Linked DNA regions of Lepisosteus oculatus. The protein of the gene in region 2 interacts with the protein of the main gene of each other region in a pairwise test. Links are inferred from orthologs where the notes say so. Each region holds a gene or a part of one and is shown on either strand. Other genes may lie near its edges. The genes, in order: tcf19l and dnaja3a.

What was found.
Region 1: the proteins of dnaja3a (region 2) and tcf19l interact in a two-hybrid assay, tested with the Homo sapiens proteins (2 studies listed by BioGRID and IntAct). The two-hybrid records come from large-scale screens. The link is inferred for Lepisosteus oculatus from reciprocal best matches to the Homo sapiens genes DNAJA3 and TCF19.

The regions. Positions count from the first base shown.
Region 1 is NW_027168109.1:40,659-48,303, reverse strand, and holds the start of tcf19l (transcription factor 19), read left to right. Parts: upstream 1-4,556; 5' UTR 4,557-5,060; coding exon 5,061-5,526; intron 5,527-7,504; coding exon 7,505-7,645. UniProt on the Homo sapiens protein: Potential transcription factor that may play a role in the regulation of genes involved in cell cycle G1/S transition. May bind to regulatory elements of genes, including the promoter of the transcription factor FOXO1.
Region 2 is NC_090714.1:3,739,694-3,747,751, forward strand, and holds the start of dnaja3a (dnaJ heat shock protein family (Hsp40) member A3a), read right to left. Parts: upstream 3,143-8,058; 5' UTR 3,141-3,142; coding exon 2,834-3,140; intron 579-2,833; coding exon 442-578; intron 68-441; coding exon 1-67. Other genes in the region: coro7 (coronin-7), read left to right, coding at 3,741-4,022. UniProt on the Homo sapiens protein: Modulates apoptotic signal transduction or effector structures within the mitochondrial matrix. Affect cytochrome C release from the mitochondria and caspase 3 activation, but not caspase 8 activation.

The DNA.
Region 1 (7,645 bases), on a different chromosome or scaffold from region 2:
CAGGACGAGAGGAGACAGACAGGATCGGAGCAACAGGCGAGAGGAGACAGAGTGACAGGAGAGCAGCAGGATGAGAGGAGACAGAGAGACAGGAGAGCAGCAGGCGAGAGGAGACACAGAGACAGGAGAGCAGCAGGACGAGAGGAGACACAGTGACAGGAGAGCCGGAGGACGAGAGGAGACACAGTGACAGAGAGACAGGAGAGCAGCAGGCGAGAGGAGACAGACAGGATCGGAGCAGCAGGCGAGAGGAGACAGAGAGACAGGATCGGAGCAGCAGGCGAGAGGAGACAGAGTGACAGGAGAGCCGCAGGACGAGAGGAGACACAGTGACAGAGAGACAGGAGAGCAGCAGGACGAGAGGAGACAGAGAGACAGGAGAGCAGCAGGCGAGAGGAGACACAGTGACAGGAGAGCAGCAGGACGAGAGGAGACAGAGTGACAGGAGAGCCGGAGGACGAGAGGAGACACAGTGACAGAGAGACAGGAGAGCAGCAGGCGAGAGGAGACAGACAGGATCGGAGCAGCAGGCGAGAGGAGACAGAGAGACAGGATCGGAGCAGCAGGCGAGAGGAGACAGAGTGACAGGAGAGCCGCAGGACGAGAGGAGACACAGTGACAGAGAGACAGGAGAGCAGCAGGACGAGAGGAGACAGAGAGACAGGAGAGCAGCAGGACGAGAGGAGACAGAGAGACAGGAGAGCAGCAGGACGAGAGGAGACAGAGAGACAGGAGAGCCGCAGGACGAGAGGAGACACAGTGACAGGAGAGCCGCAGGACGAGAGGAGACAGACAGGATCGGAGCAACAGGCGAGAGGAGACAGAGTGACAGGAGAGCAGCAGGATGAGAGGAGACAGAGAGACAGGAGAGCAGCAGGCGAGAGGAGACAGAGAGACAGGAGAGCAGCAGGACGAGAGGAGACACAGTGACAGAGAGACAGGAGAGCAGCAGGCGAGAGGAGACAGACAGGATCGGAGCAGCAGGCGAGAGGAGACAGAGAGACAGGATCGGAGCAGCAGGCGAGAGGAGACAGAGTGACAGGAGAGCCGCAGGACGAGAGGAGACACAGTGACAGAGAGACAGGAGAGCAGCAGGCGAGAGGAGACAGAGAGACAGGAGAGCAGCAGGCGAGAGGAGACACAGTGACAGGAGAGCAGCAGGACGAGAGGAGACAGACAGGATCGGAGCAACAGGCGAGAGGAGACAGAGTGACAGGAGAGCCGCAGGACGAGAGGAGACACAGTGACAGGAGAGCAGCAGGCGAGAGGAGACAGACAGGATCGGAGCAACAGGCGAGAGGAGACAGAGTGACAGGAGAGCCGCAGGACGAGAGGAGACAGAGTGACAGGAGAGCCGCAGGACGAGAGGAGACAGAGAGACAGGAGAGCCGCAGGACGAGAGGAGACACAGTGACAGGAGAGCCGCAGGACGAGAGGAGACACAGTGACAGAGCGGAGCCAGGAGAGCAGCGGGAGGAGAAGTAAAGGGAGCGGAGACGACAGGATCGGAGCAGCAGGAGAGGAGTCCTACCCGCGGCAGCCCCGGGCGCCGAGAAGTCCGCCGGTCTGTTCAGCCTGTCCGCCATGTTGTCCGCCTGGCGGATTCAAGCGGGCCGCCAACCGCCAGCCCGTTACCTAGCGACGGACCCGCTCTTCCGGAGTCGCGTTAGAGCCGACGCCACATCCGCCTGACGTCACCCGGAGAGCGGGGAAAGGGGGGCGTGTCCGCCGCGGTGACGTGCCGGGGGCGGGAGGCCAAGATGGCCGCTTCCTGTGGCTGGAAGCGCTCAGGATTCCGGATCGATAATGAAGTGTCGTGTGGGCGAGTGATCGATCGGAACAAGGGAAGTGGGTGCCTGTCGAGTCAGTCTGGCCTAACGGGAGCTGTCATGTAAAACAGCAGCACCTGGAGAGCGCTGGTGTGCGGAGAGGACAGGCTGTATCAGCCCCTGTCCTGATCAGTGTCCCAGTGTCCCAGTATGTGTGGAGAGGACAGGCGTGCTCTGGTGTGTTTACAGGCTGTATCAGCCCCTGTCCTGATCAGTGTCCCAGTGTCCCAGTATGTGTGGAGAGGAGAGGCGTGCTCTGGTGTGTTTACAGGCTGTATCAGCCCCTGTCCTGATCAGTGTCCAAGTGTCCCAGTATGTGTGGAGAGGAGAGGCGTGCTCTGGTGTGTTTACAGGCTGTATCAGCCCCTGTCCTGATCAGTGTCCCAGTGTCCCAGTATGTGTGGAGAGGAGAGGCGTGCTCTGGTGTGTTTACAGGCTGTATCAGCCCCTGTCCTGATCAGTGTCCCAGTGTCCCAGTATGTGTGGAGAGGAGAGGCGTGCTCTGGTGTGTTTACAGGCTGTATCAGCCCCTGTCCTGATCAGTGTCCCAGTGTCCCAGTATGTGTGGAGAGGAGAGGCGTGCTGTATTGTTACAGTGAGAGGCTGTATCAGAGTTGTGTTATTTATTATGCTGAAGAGTCCCAGTGTGTTTGTGTGTTGTGCGTCTGTATTGTTACAGTGAGAGGCTGTATAAGAGTTGTGTTATTTATTATGGTGAAGAGTCCCAGTGTGTTTGTGTGTTGTGTGTCTGTATTGTTACAGCGAGAGGCTGTATCAGAGTTGTGTTATTTATTATGCTGAAGAGTCCCAGTGTGTTTGTGTGTTGTGTGTCTGTATTGTTACAGTGAGAGGCTGTATAAGAGTTGTGTTATTTATTATGATGAAGAGTCCCAGTGTGTTTGTGTGTTGTGTGTCTGTATTGTTACAGTGAGAGGCTGTATAAGAGTTGTGTTATTTATGATGAGGAAGAGTCCCAGTGTGTGTGTGTGTTGTGTGTCTGTATTGTTACAGTGAGAGGCTGTATAAGAGTTGTGTTATTTATTATGAGGAAGAGTCCCAGTGTGTTTGTGTGTTGTGTGTCTGTATTGTTACAGTGAGAGGCTGTATAAGAGTTGTGTTATTTATTATGAGGAAGAGTCCCAGTGTGTGTGTGTGTTGTGTGTCTGTATTGTTACAGTGAGAGGCTGTATAAGAGTTGTGTTATTTATGATGATGAAGAGTCCCAGTGTGTTTGTGTGTTGTGTGTCTGTATTGTTACAGTGAGAGGCTGTATAAGAGTTGTGTTATTTATTATGAGGAAGAGTCCCAGTGTGTTTGTGTGTTGTGTGTCTGTATTGTTACAGTGAGAGGCTGTATAAGAGTTGTGTTATTTATTATGATGAAGAGTCCCAGTGTGTTTGTGTGTTGTGTGTCTGTATTGTTACAGTGAGAGGCTGTATAAGAGTTGTGTTATTTATGATGAGGAAGAGTCCCAGTGTGTGTGTGTGTTGTGTGTCTGTATTGTTACAGTGAGAGGCTGTATAAGAGTTGTGTTATTTATTATGAGGAAGAGTCCCAGTGTGTTTGTGTGTTGTGTGTCTGTATTGTTACAGTGAGAGGCTGTATCAGAGTTGTGTTATTTATTATTATGATGAAGAGTCCCAGTGTGTTTGTGTGTTGTGTGTCTGTACTGTTACAGTGAGAGGCTGTATAAGAGTTGTGTTATTTATGATGATGAAGAGTCCCAGTGTGTTTGTGTGTTGTGTGTCTGTATTGTTACAGTGAGAGGCTGTATCAGAGTTGTGTTATTTATTATTATGAGGAAGAGTCCCAGTGTGTGTGTGTGTTGTGTGTCTGTATTGTTACAGTGAGAGGCTGTATAAGAGTTGTGTTATTTATTATGAGGAAGAGTCCCAGTGTGTTTGTGTGTTGTGTGTCTGTACTGTTACAGTGAGAGGCTGTATAAGAGTTGTGTTATTTATTATTATGATGAAGAGTCCCAGTGTGTTTGTGTGTTGTGTGTCTGTACTGTTACAGTGAGAGGCTGTATCAGAGTTGTGTTATTTATTATTATGATGAAGAGTCCCAGTGTGTTTGTGTGTTGTGTGTCTGTATTGTTACAGTGAGAGGCTGTATAAGAGTTGTGTTATTTATTATGAGGAAGAGTCCCAGTGTGTTTGTGTGTTGTGTGTCTGTATTGTTACAGTGAGAGGCTGTATCAGAGTTGTGTTATTTATTATTATGAGGAAGAGTCCCAGTGTGTTTGTGTGTTGTGTGTCTGTATTGTTATAGTGAGAGGCTGTATAAGAGTTGTGTTATTTATTATGAGGAAGAGTCCCAGTGTGTTTGTGTGTTGTGTGTCTGTACTGTTACAGTGAGAGGCTGTATCAGAGTTGTGTTATTTATTATTATGAGGAAGAGTCCCAGTGTGTTTGTGTGTTGTGTGTCTGTATTGTTATAGTGAGAGGCTGTATAAGAGTTGTGTTATTTATTATGATGAAGAGTCCCAGTGTGTTTGTGTGTTGTGTGTCTGTACTGTTACAGTGAGAGGCTGTATCAGAGTTGTGTTGTTTATTATTATGATGAAGAGTCCCAGTGTGTTTGTGGGTTGTGTGTCTGTACTGTTACAGTGAGAGGCTGTATCAGAGTTGTGTTGTTTATTATTATGATGAAGAGTCCCAGTGTGTTTGTGTGTTGTGTGTCTGTACTGTTACAGTGAGAGGCTGTATCAGAGTTGTGTTATTTATTATGATGAAGAGTCCCAGTGTGTTTGTGTGTTGTGTGTCTGTATTGTTACAGTGAGAGGCTGTATAAGAGTTGTGTTATTTATTATGAGGAAGAGTCCCAGTGTGTGTGTGTGTTGTGTGTCTGTACTGTTACAGTGAGAGGCTGTATCAGAGTTGTGTTATTTATTATTATGAGGAAGAGTCCCAGTGTGTGTGTGTGTTGTGTGTCTGTACTGTTACAGTGAGAGGCTGTATCAGAGTTGTGTTATTTATTATTATGATGAAGAGTCCCAGTGTGTTTGTGTGTTGTGTGTCTGTATTGTTACAGTGAGAGGCTGTATAAGAGTTGTGTTATTTATTATGAGGAAGAGTCCCAGTGTGTGTGTGTGTTGTGTGTCTGTACTGTTACAGTGAGAGGCTGTATCAGAGTTGTGTTATTTATTATTATGATGAAGAGTCCCAGTGTGTTTGTGGGTAAAGGGGCGTTCCCACTGGCCGGCCCGCGGCGGGGGGCGGGGCTGTTGCCATGGAGGCGGCCGTTGCCCCGGTGAGGGGGCGGGGCCTTGGCGGCGCGGGTCTCGCGCGAGTGGCGCCGGCGCGCCAAGTTTCAAAGCGCTTCCGGGAGGGAGAGCGCGCCGCGCGGAGACTGTCACGGGCCCGGCTCTGCTGCGCGCCACACCGAGCCCACGGCCACTCGTGTCCGCGCCGGCGGGGCAGCATGCTGCCCGGGCTGCAGCCCTGCTTCCAGCTGCTGCGCGTCGGCGCCTCGGACCCCGGCCGCGACCTCTTCACCTTCCGGCCCGCGCTGCCCCGCTGCGTGTTTCGCGTGGGCCGCCTGCCCGAGCTGTGCGATGTGCCCGTGAGCTGCGCCGAGCGGCCCGAGCTGGTGTCGCGCGTGCACGCGGAGCTGCACGCCGAGCGAGAGGAGGAGGAGGAGGAGGAAGGGCAGGAGAGGGGCTGGAGAGTCTTCATCGTGGATCAGAGCAGCTACGGTGAGTCTGAGAGTGTGTGTGTGTGTGAGACACTGTCTGTGTGTGTGTGTGAGACACTGTCTGTGTGTGTGTGTGAGACACTGTCAGAGTGTGTGTGTGAGACACTGTCTGTGTGTGTGTGAGAGACACTGTCTGTGTGTGTGTGTGAGACACTGTCAGTGTGTGTGCGTGAGACTGTGTGTGTGTGTGAGAGAGACACTGTCAGTGTGTGTGTGTGAGAGAGAGAGACACTGTCAGTGTGTGTGTGTGTGAGACACTGTCAGTGTGTGTGTGTGTGAGACACTGTCAGTGTGTGTGTGTGTGAGAGAGAGACACTGTCAGTGTGTGTGTGTGTGAGAGAGAGACACTGTCAGTGTGTGTGTGTGAGAGAGAGACACTGTCAGTGTGTGTGTGTGAGAGAGACACACTGTCAGTGTGTCTGTGAGAGAGAGAGACACACTGTCAGTGTGTGTGTGTGAGACACTGTCAGTGTGTGTCTGTGAGAGAGAGAGACACACTGTCAGTGTGTGTGTGTGAGACACTGTCAGTGTGTGTGTGTGAGACACTGTCAGTGTGTGTGTGTGAGACACTGTCAGTGTGTCTGTGAGAGAGAGAGACACTGTCAGTGTGTGTGTGTGAGACACTGTCAGTGTGTGTGTGTGAGAGAGAGAGACACTGTCAGTGTGTGTGTGTGAGACACTGTCTGTGTGTGTGTGAGAGACACTGTCTGTGTGTGTGTGAGAGACACTGTCTGTGTGTGTGTGAGAGAGACACTGTCAGTGTGTGTGTGTGAGAGAGAGAGACACTGTCAGTGTGTGTGTGTGTGAGACACTGTCAGTGTGTGTGTGTGTGAGAGAGAGACACTGTCAGTGTGTGTGTGTGTGAGAGAGAGACACTGTCAGTGTGTGTGTGTGTGAGAGAGAGAGAGAGACACTGTCAGTGTGTGTGTGTGTGAGAGAGAGACACTGTCAGTGTGTGTGTGTGTGAGACACTGTCAGTGTGTCTGTGAGAGAGAGAGACACTGTCAGTGTGTGTGTGTGTGAGACACTGTCAGTGTGTCTGTGAGAGAGAGAGACACTGTCAGTGTGTGTGTGAGACACTGTCAGTGTGTCTGTGAGAGAGAGAGACACTGTCAGTGTGTGTGTGTGAGACACTGTCAGTGTGTCTGTGAGAGAGAGAGACACTGTCAGTGTGTGTGTGTGAGACACTGTCAGTGTGTGTGTGTGAGAGAGAGAGACACTGTCAGTGTGTGTGTGTGAGACACTGTCAGTGTGTGTGTGTGAGACACTGTCAGTGTGTGTGTGTGTGAGACACTGTCAGTGTGTGTGTGTGAGAGAGAGAGAGACACTGTCTGTGTGTGTGTGAGAGAGAGAGAGACACTGTCAGTGTGTGTGTGTGAGAGAGAGAGAGACACTGTCTGTGTGTGTGTGAGAGAGAGAGAGACACTGTCTGTGTGTGTGTGTGTGTCTGGGGTACAGTGTGACCCCTCCTCCTCCCCCCTGTCCAGGCACGTGGCTGAACGACTCTCTCCTGCTCCGGGGTCAGAGGACGGAGCTCAGTGAGGGGGTACAGTGTGTGTGTGTGTGTCTGGGGTACAGTGTGACCCCTCCTCCTCCCCCCTGTCCAGGCACGTGGCTGAACGACTCTCTCCTGCTCCGGGGTCAGAGGACGGAGCTCAGTGAGGGGGTACAGTGTGTGTGTGTGTGTGTGTGTGTCTGGGGTACAGTGTGACCCCTCCTCCTCCCCCCTGTCCAGGCACGTGGCTGAACGACTCTCTCCTGCTCCGGGGTCAGAGGACGGAGCTCAGTGAGGGGGTACAGTGTGTGTGTGTGTGTCTGGGGTACAGTGTGACCCCTCCTCCTCCCCCCTGTCCAGGCACGTGGCTGAACGACTCTCTCCTGCTCCGGGGTCAGAGGACGGAGCTCAGTGAGGGGGTACAGTGTGTGTGTGTGTGTGTGTCTGGGGTACAGTGTGACCCCTCCTCCTCCCCCCTGTCCAGGCACGTGGCTGAACGACTCTCTCCTGCTCCGGGGTCAGAGGACGGAGCTCAGGGATGGGGACACGCTGACGTTCGGGGCGCCGGCCCGCGGCCCCGAGTGCTACTTCCTGTTCCAGCGGGCCCTGCTGCGCCCAGACGCCT
Region 2 (8,058 bases):
GCTGGGCAAACTTCTCCTTGGCCTGGGGGTCATCCTTGTTTGTGTCAGGATGGTACTTCTTAGCAAGCTGAGGGGAAAAGGCTTCAGTTTAGTCTCCAGGGGCCCTTTGCCCCCCTCTCGCGTTCCAGTCGCAGGGACAACAATTTACTTTATTTAAACAAACGCCTCAGAGTCTCTGCTGAACACCGACATCCAATGCCTGTCCCTGCCGAGTCAGTTCAGCACTGAAGGAACATTAAACACAGGACTTTCTTCTTACTGGTCTGTAGGCTTCGCCTTCTGTTTCCGGTCATGGCATAGAACAAGAACCTTTAATAAACAGTTTTATCGGTTTCTTATTTAAGAAATAACAAAGGGTACAGGCTTTCACAGAAATTCTACAGCAGCTCTCGTCATCTTTCCTGCGTCTGCAGTCTCTCGAGCTGTAGCCACGTCTCTCACCTGGTAATAAGCCTTTTTGATCTCCTTCTGCGTGGCCGACCGGGACACCCCCAGCACTTGGTAGTAGTCCTGCTTGTTTGACGCAGAGGCGCTGGTGTGGAAGGCGGGGGCAGGGATGACACTGGGGCTCCTCACTCCTGTATGGGCACGTGGAGACCCGGCTTAACAGTTGGGGTCTGAGCTCTGCCAGGGGGCACAGGCAGACTACAGCACCACAGCCCAGGGAGGCAGCAGGCCAGAACCTCCCGTGAGTACAGTCTCCCTGGGAACTCAGAACTAGAGTGCTGTACTTTTTAAAGAGCAAATCAACATATGACAGCACTCTCGGTATTAAACTGGAATATTCCTTTCCAAACCATACTCCATGTGCAGCTGCAAGACTGCATAATATTATTGCAAGACTGAAATAATAAAGGACATCGCTAGCTGCCTGAACCCCATGATGTCGAACTGCTTAAAGATAAACTGCTTGTTGATAAAGCCAGAGATCAACTGTCATCAGTGCAACTTTTGTAAGCAGACTCTCACTGGTTACTGCAAGGATCCACAGACGTCAGGCATTTAAAGCACCATACAATATAACAGAATCCAGAAAGTATTCGTACATCTCTCCAATCCACAAGAAGACGAGATCAATGCTGCTTTCTGAACTGCACTAAAGAAAGTTCCAAACGTTGCTTCTCTGACATCAGAGTGCACTGATTCTTGATATCTTTCCTGATCTCCAGTTAGGCTTAGAAAGAAAAGAAACGTAGCACTCCGTTACTGAGTGTACTGTATGTGTCAAGAGAAATCAGCCATGCAGGACTGTGTACCGATTTCATGATTGACTTTGTTGCATAAGCACTAATAAACTCACATTAGTGGGAGAGCTGAGCAGAAACAGGTCAAGGGGTGATCCCAACCCACCGATTGTGAAGAAAGAAAATTACAGAAAGGAACTGCAACGCCCCAGTTATAAAAATAACCTCTATATATTGAGGCGCCTTCACATCCTCATGCTGCGTGTGAAACATGGGCTTTCTGGCAAGATGAGAATAGGACATGGTGTCTTGTGGGTATTCTACTGGCCTGAGCCCCACTGGATGAGGTAGGGAGACCTAAGGCATTTGGAGGCCCAGGGACAGACACAAGCTCACAGGATCTATGAGGGGAAAAGGGCAAAATCCAATTGCAATGTATTGCAGAGAACGAATCCCAGATGTACAGCTTGTACTGTTTCCAGCTGTGGCTCCAGACACTATTACACTGTGACCTAACACAAGACCAAATGGTGATCAATTCTACTGAAAGCAACTTGTTAATTATGGCACTTCTGTTCACCGAAATCTCAGTACTCCACCTACTAAAAAGAAACTGCTAACTTTGTCAATATATTGCATATATAAGTCATGACTCTGCTGAATATCAGTTTATACAAACAGCAGGCTCTTGCAACAAATGAATCTGATAATCACAATGAAAAGTGTTTATTTTGGTAATACTTTCAAATACTGGCCAATCCAGTCTGGACTCCTTATGGATCTAACTGTTAATCAACATTTGGTACAAGAATAACCAGAGGAAGCAAGTAGCCTATGAGATATATTCAAAAAATATATCTTGTTTTAAAAGTTTAGCAATGTCAGCTGCTACCTGCTCAAAGTCTAGCAATGTCAGCTATTTGTCGTTTTTATCCCAATCACACCTAGAAGATTTGGAACTGAACACAAAGGGCGTTTCGGTAAGATGCGTCCATTTGACGCTTTCTCGAATACTGTCGCAACTAGTCTTCAAAGGTAAACAGATTGAAACCTCCATATGATCAACATTTACATATAGCTCAAGTCACCACGATAACTGTAATTATATCTTCCGCACTAGTCTTCAAAGACTTTTTCTGCAAAAAGGGGGTTTATGAATTACGAGCGACACATGCCTATGGGTGCCTTTTGTCACAGTTTGTTTCTGCGGTAATTTTTCCCTTCCTGCTCTTAAATCTCCACAGCCGGAAGCATGGCACACAAAGTAGCGACCATGCTGCCAGTCAAGGTCAGCTGCTGGAGCGGAGGAAGTTTCTGGTAGCCGAAGAGAGCACACCTGCGATCTAAGATCAACACGAAAAGTGCTGCTTCTTGCATGAAGTACGGACGTCAAACAGAAAATATATGCAATTTACGATCATGTCATCCAGAGGTACTTTGTGTCACGCCGTTACGTCTCTTTCGTAATGCCGGTAGAGACGTCAAGGGAAGCACGCGTGTAGTCTAGACATATCACACATTTCACTACAATATTGACAACGCAATGAAAGAAATACGCTAGCTGTTAATTACACAGCCCCCAAACCCTGCGCAACTGTAATGTACATTGCAAGAGTTCAGGATATAGGCATTCCGGCTCGTCTCATTACCTGCTAATGCTCTCAATGTCAGGACGTGGCCGGGCCCTCCGCCGCCCCCGGGACGATACTGCGATGCACTCAAGGCAGGAACGGGACGCAATGTCTCCGTATGGGCGCGGGCGAACCGCGAGCAGCCCCGACGCTGCCCGGCGGAGACGGCCACGAAGATCCAGCGTGAGGAGCACCGGACCGCAGGAGACGCCATCATCATGTACCAGGACTGACAGAGGCAGCGCAAAGCGCATGGCCGGGAAAAGCAACGGGCCGCGCATGCGCGGAGCTGGGCGAGCATGCGCAGTCCAAACGCAGGGGACATTCCCAGCGCGAACATGTCACATGATAGGGGTGAGGGTGGACTTCAGACTCTTCAAGAAAAATAAAAAAACGCTTCAATAATTATTTTAAAAACACGAACTGCCTCTGCTACATGGTTTTAAACTTTAACGTTAGATTCCATGTATTATTTATTTAATTTTAGAAGGTTGCTAGCTTTTTAAAATCAATGCACTTAAATGTTTTCTTTTCCCCTAAATCAGGTACGAGTTTCCCCAGCAGTGCAGAGACTCATCTCCGACAAATACGTCCAGAGGGGCCCAAAAACAAAAAGAAAACCTTCTCCCCAAGTCGTGTAGTAATATGCAAAATAAACTCCCAGTTGCGAGCTGTGACTGAGAGAGCCTTTAATCCCAAGGGGGCAATTTGTTCAGCATCAGTTGGGCGTCTGCTGGCCACCCGTTTTACACCTCTCAGATTTTTTAAAAGGAGGGTTACTTACAGTAATTAAACATAAACTTTGTTAAATTTAGCAGTATTGTAAAACATCACCACTCGTTTCAAATTGCGCACCATACATGCTAAGTAGCAAGAGAAGTCTGAAATCGCAAAATGCCCCCAGTACAATCTGAGGTTTGCAGCAATGTCACTAGCTCGAGGTGGGGGGTCAGACAAGACAGCATCAGCCGCTCCCGTTCGCATCGATCGCCGAGTGAATCGCTGCAAGAGACAATCGACCGGCACTGTTGTGCTGTCAGTGCAGCTGCTGAGCGTGTGTGCGCGTCTGCAGAGACGGGGAAGGAGTGGGACAGATAGCAAACGGGTCACTGGCGTTGAGCAGGACGGCGAAGGAGAAAGGAGAAGGATGAACCGCTTCAAAATCTCCAAATTCAAGAACACCACCCCAAAAATCCCCAAGAAAGACGTAAGTCGGCGAGGGTTGGGTTTTGCAGTGAATGGGGGGAGAGACGTGTGCTGGCATTTCAACTTCCTGAATACTGCTCTCGCAAAGCTGTCCCGGAGTCATCATTTTTCAAGCACTCGTTCAAATTCAGATTGAAATGTACGCTGGTTTTAGAAGAAGGCTTCCAGACGGCCGCTTGCACTGCAGGTTTTAATTAAAGGATGGGATTCGCCTCTTTTTATTTTTCCGTCTGTGCATGACAGTTTTTTTTTGCTCTAATTTGAATGAAGGTTTGGTAAAAACTAAAACCTGGGAGGTTGTAAACGCTCACGTTACACGGAAAAATAATTTCCGTCCAGACGTGATTTGTGTTTTAAATTGCATGTGCAAATAAGACTGCTCTTTAAGAAAACAGAACAACGCTTCATTTCTACCGCGCGGTATGTTTAATCGTTTCTAAAAGTTTAGATAGACTGAAATATTGTTTACAGCTGTGAATGATTTAATGCAAATATATGTAAAACACGATGCTCAATTACCTCGACTTTTTTTTTAAAAGTCATACCAGGATGTGTGTTAAGGTAGCGTGCATGAACAAGCTGTGCTCGGAGCGAACCTGAATTTATTAATTACTGTTCTAGCCTTGACAAGCACGATAGAAAGTCAAAATAATCGTAATTCGCCCATTCTGCCATTTGCTACCCTATCGCGCTCTTCCTGGTGTGTAAAATCTAATGAGTAGCTACTAGGTCAGCTCCGACGCAATCCAAATGTTTTGCATAATTTTCAAAGAAAGTGGTTGATTCATTGTTGATCTGTTTACGGGGAGGGAATTCATCTACAGATACGTCTGTGCAATAGAGTGTCGACTTCAACTTTTTGACGAGAGAGGTTATCTTCCTAGCGACCTTCACACGTGCTGGAATATAGGCTCTGCTGAAGGTGTGAAATGATCCCGGGCACTACTCTGTGTTCCGTGCGTGGGCACAGCGAGATCACAGGTAATTTCTAGCCCCGGGCAAAGGAAGTCACCAGTTTCGAGATATTCCTTGGGCGAGGTTTTGTTTTGGCCAGATTGACGGTGAGTGGTGGAATCTGAAGTCAGGAAGGTGTGGCTTTTCCCACGCACAACCGAGATACACTATATCGCTGTCGTTTCTGATTGAGTGGTTTGGAAGCTTTCAGAGGAAGCCTCACCTGGAGTGCATTGCAGGCACACGTGTTCCACTTTGTGCTTGTGAATTCCACCGCACGTTTCTACTCAAGAGTAAAACCGAGGTGCTCTTCTAAAGCTGATGAGTTTTAGATATGGGGAGTCCTCAGTCGTGGAAAACTTCTTCTTGAAGCATCCATCCATATATCAGGACAGGGTTATTAATTGGTATAATGTGCATATCGTTGTGTAATAGCGACCCCTGTGGTTGGGGGGAGGGAGCTGCAGGACTGAGCTGCATTCAAACGGGCTAAGAACTCATCCCCACTTATACTCGGCTTTCCTACTTTGCAAACGTAGTTCACCTTTGAATGTCTCAAACCTTTGAAGCTTATATTGTGGACCTATCCCATTATGATGTTTTAAACCAATGGTATGAATGAGACCCAATAATTTTGCATTGATAACGTGCTGGAGGATGCTGGACTTTTTAACCATGTCTCCATTCTTTCTGTAAATTGAGTTGAAGAGCTTATTGGCAAATATCTTCAGTTTTCATAGACAGCCCTGAGGCAGAGACTGAACAACGGTTGTTGATCTACCAAAACGTGTACGAAAGAAGTGGACACCTGAGGAAGGCTCCACAGTCGAAACACGGTGTCTCTTTTCTTTTCCTTTCAGCCTGGAATAAACCTCTCCCTGCTCCTCTGCCGCCTTCGCATGCTGCTGCAGCTGCTTACTAAAAGAAGTCACACACTTCTGCCTCTGGTTTTCATCACGCGCCCTGCTGTTAAAGTTTAATTGAATTAACTGTTTTGACGGGCCGTCAGGCGTGATGGTTTTCCAGTCTGTCCAACAGTGATGCTTTGTCTCCTGTCCAGTCTGCACGCAGAGGCTAAGATTCATATTCAGTGGAAGTGTCCCCTGCTTACCCACGGGGAACAAAAAAATCCTTCAGGGATTTCCTGTTCCAGGTGGGACTGACAGATAACATGTATTTCAGTGCTCTGCTGTCCGTGCTCTCTTCTGCTAAGAACCTCGGCGTCCGTCTTCAGCCCCGGCCTCTCCTACCCAACACGTTTCTCTGGGATGATCTTGTCTTCTTCCCTCTTGAGCAGCAGTCTCAAGACCCCTCCTTACTGGCTGTCCCACACAGCTGCTCACCCAGGCCCTGGTGCTGTGCTTTTGAAGATGGTTTCTCGTTTGAGGTTTTTTGCATTTGCAGGGTCTGTTAAATCCTACCACAAGAACACAAATAAGGTGGAGACTGTTTAGTTCACAGAATGGACTATTAGTAGCTGCGACAGCTATGTTCTGTTGTAGTTCTGTCTGTGTAAGGCTCAGAAAGTTGAGGAGTGACATTTCTTGGTATAGCCAAGGGTTCTAGTAATAGGGGTGACACATTTTTAAAATATCGTTTTGGGATGTGCTGTTGCCTTTGGTGTACATCCCTCAGAAAGGATGGGATTCCACTCTGTTTACAGAAAGAGCAGCACGGTTACTACAGTCAAATGCAATGAGAAAGGGGTTCAGCTCTGTCCTATTTAGAGATGATTAACAAGGCAATATATTGCTCCCCTTCAGTTTGCCCGTGCTATTATGACGCACAAGTGTGGGCTAACCTATCTTTTTGTATATTTTTGGAGTGGAATTTCAGACTTATTTCTTTGTGTTCCAGGACAGAGTCAGTCCCCGCCCTGTTGTTAGTAGGGCACAAATACATTGGCTGTATGTCGCCTTTACAGAGGCTGGTACAATAGTGTTGATTTGTGGATTACAGTGATTTGTTTGTAGAGGCTGTTGGCATTCAGTCCCATGTGTGGGAGCTTCTGTACTGCAGCCTCTGGCAAAGATGTAGATTTGTAATTGCGTTAAGAGCCTCTAGCAAGAAAGCTGCGCCTCAGAACAATGTGAGCACATCTCTTGCCTAGAAATTTAGCGGAGGAGTTAGTTTTCAACGTTTTCCAGCTGCCACTTGAGCTGGATTTCCGGGATGGTCCTGCTTTCCTTGTCCCCTGAGGCATGTGTAGCCGCAGCCAGTGTAGCTGTGCCGGTCCAGAACATCAGTGGCCTCCAATGACACCCCAAAACCAGGGAGATGCACAGACTCGCCAAAACCACCATCTTCATATCTGGTCCTGGAGACCTGCAGGTTTTTTTTAGGTAACTAAAAATGCTCCGTAACTAAAGGTTTGGAAACCCAGGTAAGTTGGATCAGATAATTCAATAACTGATTCGATAAACTCATTAAGAGCGCAGGTGGATTGAAAAGCAGCAGGGCCTGCAGGTGTCCAGGTTGAGGAGTGAGTGTCACAGGACTAATACAGTCCAGTCGTGAGGAGTGTCCACTGTGTGAGCAGAGGTCATCCCTGCAGCACAGGAAGCTAGAAATCCCCCTGTAGAGCCCAGATTCTTTTGAATAAATGTCCTCAACCACTGGAAACTTCCTGTTTCACCATGGGCTCCCTTGCAAGCTATAGCTCAGGGGTTCGCAGACCTGCTCTGGCAAGTGTGTCCAGTTAAACAATAATTAGCTCATGCAGTGTGGACTGTAAACCTAGCGACACGACGTCCCTCCGGGACCAGCACAGGGATTCCCTGCTCAGGATAAAAGCCTGGATGGAAGTTCGTATTCTGATTGAGCCACTGGGGAATCTTGGACACGTTTTTAAATGATTTGCAGCGCAGTGCCAGAGTTTCGGAGACTTCCACAGCATTGTGCACATCACTGTAGTACAGGGCGAGCTGCCAAGCTGAGTCCATTGCAGCCACTCTCCAGAATCCCTCTGTCTCCAGCCAGCTGTGGAGCAAATAGAAGCAAAGAGCTCACAGCCAAAAAGAAGTAAACTGGCCCTGGCAGCAAATGCAGTCTATCTTTGGGCTGTGGGCACTGTGCATTCCCCA